Rattus norvegicus: one gene and its partner. The protein of the gene in region 2 interacts with the protein of the main gene of each other region in a pairwise test. Links are inferred from orthologs where the notes say so. Each region holds a gene or a part of one and is shown on either strand. Other genes may lie near its edges.

What was found. The genes of interacting proteins can lie anywhere in the genome.
Region 1: the proteins of Pex6 (region 2) and Pex26 come close enough for resonance energy transfer, tested with the Homo sapiens proteins (2 studies listed by BioGRID). The link is inferred for Rattus norvegicus from reciprocal best matches to the Homo sapiens genes PEX6 and PEX26.

Annotation. Positions count from the first base shown.
Region 1 is NC_086022.1:156,093,480-156,097,129, reverse strand, and holds part of Pex26 (peroxisome assembly protein 26), read right to left. Parts: intron 3,618-3,650; coding exon 3,471-3,617; intron 606-3,470; coding exon 502-605; 3' UTR 1-501. UniProt on the Homo sapiens protein: Peroxisomal docking factor that anchors PEX1 and PEX6 to peroxisome membranes. PEX26 is therefore required for the formation of the PEX1-PEX6 AAA ATPase complex, a complex that mediates the extraction of the PEX5 receptor from peroxisomal membrane.
Region 2 is NC_086027.1:21,755,137-21,757,944, forward strand, and holds the end of Pex6 (peroxisomal ATPase PEX6), read right to left. Parts: coding exon 2,695-2,808; intron 2,420-2,694; coding exon 2,358-2,419; intron 2,187-2,357; coding exon 2,078-2,186; intron 1,820-2,077; coding exon 1,703-1,819; intron 1,485-1,702; coding exon 1,407-1,484; intron 1,272-1,406; coding exon 1,132-1,271; coding exon of another isoform or gene 964-1,131; coding exon 827-963; 3' UTR 615-826; downstream 1-614. Other genes in the region: Gnmt (glycine N-methyltransferase), read left to right, coding at 17-556. UniProt on the Homo sapiens protein: Component of the PEX1-PEX6 AAA ATPase complex, a protein dislocase complex that mediates the ATP-dependent extraction of the PEX5 receptor from peroxisomal membranes, an essential step for PEX5 recycling.

The DNA of each region.
Region 1 (3,650 bases), on a different chromosome or scaffold from region 2:
TGGACCAATGGGAGGGGATGGTGAACTGATCCCAGCCTCTGTGGGAGGGGCGTGGGGGAAGAGAGGACTCCGGTTTTACTGAATTCAGGTACTGAGCTGTGGAGGGGTTTCAGAGGTAAATGGCTAAGGGCCGCTCCACCGCGTTTGTGAATCGCAGCTCCTCCAGCGCCCGATCTGGAAGGTCACCCTCTGCCTTTGTCAAGAAACCACAATGTCTCAAGACCCAGTCCCTGCTCCTAAACCCCTTCTTTTTGAGGAGCTGTGCAGAATTCTGTGCGCTGGCCTCGGGCACCACTGTTCACACACTCCTTTTGAGGCCAGCCACAATGGGATACGGAAGGGCGGGTTCACAGGCAAGCCATGGCTCTCCCGCCTTGGCTCCTCCTCCTAGAACGAATGGGCCCACTGCCATGGTGCCATCTGGGACCCAGCCACTGGGCTCGGCTTTTCCGCTTCTGTAGATGGGGACTGTAAGAAGCAGAGGCAGCCACGTAGGACCACTCAGTCCCGGAGGGTGAGCGGGTAGAGCCGAGAAAGCGTGGCCTTCTGGATCCGGCGGAAGAGCTGGGTCAGCTGGTAGAGGAAGGGCAGTGAAGAAGGAGCTGCTGTGGGAAAGGAGAGACTATCGTGAGTGTTCTTCCCTCAGCCCCTCCGAGGCAGCTAGAAAACACAGCCAGGCTTCCTGCTATTCGCAGCCTCCTCGGCAACAAGAAATTTCACTTTCTCTGAAAATTTTTTTTCCAGTTGAATTACAATAACTTTAAATATTCTAGAAAAAAATCCAGATTTATTACATCTTAATCATTCTGGCATTTACACAACCGCTGGTGACTCTCAGAAGCCTACACCGAGCTTCTGGTGTCGGGCGTGTCTCAGGTGTGTCTTGCTTTCTTCCAAATGCCTCTTTCCTAACTTTCCATGCTTAGGCCTCTGTTAAAATTTTTCTTCGGGGCTGGAGCGATGGCTCCGTAGTTAAGAGCACTTGCTGCTATTGCAAAGACCTGGGTGCAGTTCCTAGCACCCACATTAGAGGCTCACGACCAGTTCCAGGGTATCTGACACTTCTGGCTTCCAAGAAAACCAGGCATGCATGTGGTACCCATCCACATATGCAGCCTCATACATATTTTTTAAGTCTAAAAAATGTCTGTTAAGCCCCAACTCCACTTCCTGAAAGAAATAATTAACAACCATGGGAGCAACGTCTACCACTAGGGAGAGCCATTTGGAAAAATTTCACTGCACTTTTTGCCTTTCTGTGCCTTTCAGTTTGAAGCCTTAGGACAGTTTGACGTATTTTACCACGAATTAACGACATTGAAAATTTAAAAAAAAAAATCAAAAAACAAAAAACAAAAAACTACCATTTGTTTCGTTTCCTTGTTTGGATTACAGACTTAAAAAATACATATTTCTACTTTTAGTTTGATTTGGGGAGGTTGGCCAGGTTGGGCAAGGATGACAGAGTTGGGCCTTCTGCTTTCGCCTCTTAATGCTGGGACTCCAGGTGGGAGCCACCACACCAAGTTCTTTGTGGTGCTGGGAACTGAACCCAGGCCTTAGTACATACCAGGCAAGTGTGGTATCTGAGCTCATCCCTGGCCTCCAAAATAAGGAATACATATTTCTCTCTTAAACACCCTAGCACCTTAGAGAGCTAGGACAGGGGCTTCAGCTGGCACTGGAGGCCAGCCTGGGCAAGGCTATGAGACACACACAGACCTGCTCCTCTAAGTGGGGGGAGCAGTGTTTAGGGCTAAGGAGATGGCTCGGTAAAGTACTTGCCAAAAAGTGTGAAGACCTAAGTTCGAATCCTAAATACTCACTTGAAAGCCAGGCATGGGGTAGCACATACCTGCAACCCCAAGGCAAGTGAAGAGACTCAAAAACTACAGCAGAAGGGCTGGGACTGCAGCTCAGTGACAGAATAGTCACTCCTCAGGGCTGAGGGCCTCAACTTAATCCCTGGCCACTGTCATCCTTATCATCACCATGTGGAGTAGCCAACAGTGCACACACGCGCGCACATGCATACACACACATGCACAAACGCATACAAACACATATAGACATGCGCACACGCATGCTTGCATAGTGGGAGCAGTGGGAAGAAAGGTGTTTATTCCTCTAAGGCTGGAGATGCAACCCAGTCCTTCCTACATGTATGTATGCCACATGCATGCCCAGCCCTCCATACCTGTTATTTTTCTTTAAAGTAACTGACCTTCTCCCCAAATTCTATTTGCAGCGCCACCCACCCCCCATGTGGGTCCTCCTCTCCTGAGGAGAGCTGCTCAGTACACACCCAAGTTTGAATGGTTTTCTTGGTCACCATTTAGGAGATCAGGGTTTAGGGGAAGTCATAAGGAACTTCTACTAAATTCTTATCAACTATGCAAAGTAGAGAGTCAAGGACAGATGGGAAATCACAGGAACTGAACTTCCCCTTTTCAAACGTGTTTTTCCAGCACTGAGAATGTGCTTCCCACGGTAGGGGTGTCTCTGCTCACCCCTCATTTCTGTCCTGTTTCTGGAAGCTGCTGGTGGCTTTCTTGTATAACCAACAGAGCTGTCCAGAGAGGACATTCCTGCTCAGAGTCCAACAAGTGAGAGGGGAGGTGAGGAAAACAGGGACCTAAAGTCAAAGGTTTAAAACCAGGCGAACTGTGTGGCTCTGGTCTAGTCACTCTGGTTATTAGATTTCTCAACCAACAATGAAAGAAAATTAAAGGCTTCTCATTTCTCCTTGGTTTTGAAAGTTGCACAATCCTATCTACATCTAAATTCTTGAGAAAGTACAGACTGCTTCACAACCCACAGAGAGTGACTCGGAAAGTCTGGCTTGGTGGTGCACGCCTGCAACCCCAGCATCTGGGAGGCAGAGACAGAAGGTTCGACACCATTCTGCACTATACAGTAAGACTTGTCTTTTGTTTTTGTGTTTCTCGAACGGCAGTCAGTCACCTAACTGTGGCCCAGAGTCCCATATCTGAGTGTCCACTACACAGGTGTTTTCCCGAGTCTCACCTCTACTCCACAGTGAGGCAGAAGAGATTAATCACCCAAAGGACTGACACATATCAATCAGGGGAAAAGTCTATAAACCAGAATATCATTTAGCTGTTTCACATTTTTTCCCCCACATCGTCTAAAATATGTCAGACTTTCACTTACGATTTCAGGGTCATTACACGAGCCAGGAGACCTTAACTAATTTAGGTTTTACTATGAGAAAGCTTCTTAGCATTGCATTCTGATCAGAAGTCACCCCTGGATGGAGCAGGGCCCAGGTGAGTCCATCGGCATGCAGAGCAGCAGGGAAATGTTCTCCAACTGCTCTCCTAGGATCTGGGCCTGGTCTCCCCCCCAGGTGAGGTAGACTCTAGTTCTTTGTGGGACAGGCTCAATATCACAGGAGGTGGCGCCCTCCCAGGCTCTCACAGACCCTGCCGCCACACCCCTTCACTCACCTGGATCAAACCGTAGAACCAAGAGACAGAGGATCAAGGCAGCCAGGAGGCCCTTTCTAAAGGGCTGGGAGAGAAGGTGGCTCACCGCAGAGCCACAAAGGCGGCGAAGCAGCATCAGCAGTGACAGCAACTTACGGGGAAATGAACCTGGCCAGGGGACAGAGCGTCATCACAGGGTGA
Region 2 (2,808 bases):
ATGCCACTGCCCTCAGAGTGACCTGACCAAGGACATTACGACATCAGTGCTGACAGTAAACAACAAAGCCCACATGGTAACCCTGGACTACACAGTGCAGGTGCCAGGTGCTGGCAGAGATGGCGCTCCTGGCTTCAGGTATGGCATGATTTGGCAGGAGAGGTGGTGGTGGGGGAGACTTGAGGCCAGCAGCCCTCATTATTTGGCTGGGGGCCCTGTTGCAGTAAGTTTCGGCTCTCTTACTACCCACACTGTTTGGCGTCTTTCACGGAGTTGGTCCAAGAAGCCTTTGGGGGCAGGTGCCAGCACAGCGTCCTGGGTGACTTCAAGCCTTACAGGCCCGGCCAGGCCTACGTTCCCTGCTACTTCATCCACGTGCTCAAGAAGACAGGCTGAGCCTGGCTCCGGCTCCCACCCTAAGACCATCGCCTACCACAGATATTGCAGAGATGTGGGGGGCAGGCAAACAGGGAGTCGACAATACAGCCTTCCCTTGCCAATCCTGTGCCCTGTGTTTCTTTCAGAAGTAATGTGGTGTTCATCCCACCTTCCCTAGACCTTACTCTTCCCATAACCTTGGCATTTGCACCGCAACCTCTCACAAGACCAGCAGGGGGCAGTATAGACTTTATTTTCTGTCTGAGAACTGGGGCCTCAATGCCCATTCCAGGCTGCCACGCCCCCAAGCTGCCAGCCCTGCCTCTTCTCCTGGGCACAAGGGCCTCCCACTAGGGATCTCAGGGTATCTCCTGGAGGGAGGCAGCCTTCAGGTGGCAGGTGGCAGCTACCTCCAGCCAGGTGGGCTTTTGCAGGCGGCAGGAAGCTCCTAGCAGGCAGCAAACTTGCGTTGGATACGCTTGTATCGCAGCAGCTCCTGCTCGCTGACTGAGGGCTGCAGCCGGGCTGCGGCCTGCAACAGGTCCTCCATGGTGAGCAACAGTGCTGAGCTCCGAGGCTCCAGCCCTGAGGGATGGCGAGGAACAGTGAGGCCAGAGCCCTGACCCCAGCTGTAATCTATGCCTAGGTAGGAGAGCAACCTGGGGAGGTGCCTCCTGCTCAGCCGTTCCTCTGGAATTCCAGGACTGTCTCCCCTAGTTTCTTGGTTCCCGTCTAGTGCTGGCAAGGGCTCACCTTCCTCTAGGTCTCGGACCCTGCGTTTGAGGGCGGTCATCATGGCGTCAGAGCAGAGAGAATAGAGGTCTGCGCCGGTCAGCTGAGGCGGGCAGCAATCCAGCACATTCATCAGGCTCACAGAGGCCTCCAGCTTGAACCTATCATACCCACACCAGAAATGTTAAAGCTGGCCTCACCCTCAGAAGGCACACTGACTGGCACACATCCCCCTAACCATCCCAAGCCCCGCCCCAGCTCTGACAGCCCCGCCCCAGCTCTCTGACAGAGCGTACTTTCGTGTGATGGCGCTCAGAACGCGCAGCTGGGAGGCCCGGTCCTCACTTGCTCCTACAAACACCAGCTTGTCAAATCTTCAGAGAGATAGAAACAGGAAGTGTCAGGGCCGCCACATGGGAGGTGAAGGAAGCACAGGATAGAGGTTAAGGAGAAAGGTCCAGGGGGCTGGGGATTTAGCTCAGTGGTAGAGCGCTTACCTAGGAAGCGCAAGGCCCTGGGTTCGGTCCCCAGCTCCGGAAAAAAAAAAAAAAAAAAAAAAAAAAAAAAAAGGAGAAAGGTCCAGGATGCCCACCTGCCAGGCCGCAGAAGGGCAGGATCCAGGAGGTCTGGTCTGTTGGTGGCTCCGATCACAAACACATCCTGAGTGCTGTGAAGCCCGTCCAGCTCAGCTAAGAGCTGAGACACAACTCTGTACGGGAGGGGGAGGCAAAGGCCAGAGAGTCCTTGCTGTGCCTTCAGACTAAGGTGCCTTGCCGAGCCCTGCCCCATGTCCCTCCCCACACAGGTGAGCCTCCTCAAAGCTCCCATGTGTTTTTGGCCTCCCTTCTAACTCTGAACCGGAAGAGCAGAACTCCTATCTTAGAGACCTGATCTGGACACTGATGTGACTAATCTCACGTTCCTCCCTTCTGGGATCCCAGACTCCATTACCAGTCGAACCCCTGACCTGTCCATCACACCTCCAGAGTCTCCACTCCGTCCACGGCTCGGAGCTAAGGAGTCCAGTTCATCAAAGAAGATGATGCACGGGGCAGCAGCCCTGGCCCTGGCAAACACTGAGAAAGAGGCTTGAAGTCAGGGGAGGAGGATGGCAAGTGGGCCTGACTTCCATTCCACCCAGACAGTTGCCCAGCTGGGGCGACTGTGAGCAGCAGCTGGGGAAGATGGAGGCACAAGGCTGCTGGAGTTGGGGAAGGGCCCGAGGCTGCCTCTCCCTGCTTACTCACCTTCCCGAACATTCTCCTCACTTTGGCCCACATACATGTTGATGAGTTCTGGCCCCTTTACACTGAGCAGAAGAATGAGCAAGTGAGACCCATCAGACATGCACAAGACCATTGTCCTCCCCCTCCCCACTTGCCACAGCTCCCCCCACCCCTACCTGTTACACCCCCCACCCACTACATCTTCCCTTCCCTCCACCTGCTGCAACCCCCCTCACTGTTACAGCCCCCCTCCATACCTATTACAGCTCCCCTCCCCCACACACACCTACTACAGCTCCCCTCCCCCTACACCTGCTAGAGCTCCCAGCCTCCCACCTTCTGTAGGAGCCCTGCCAACCTGAGAAAGGTGAGGCTGCACTCAGTGGCTACCGCCTTGGCCAGCAGGGTCTTGCCAGTGCCTGGGGGCCCATGGAGCAGAAGGCCTGATCGTCTTAGGCCCAGGCTTAGCAGC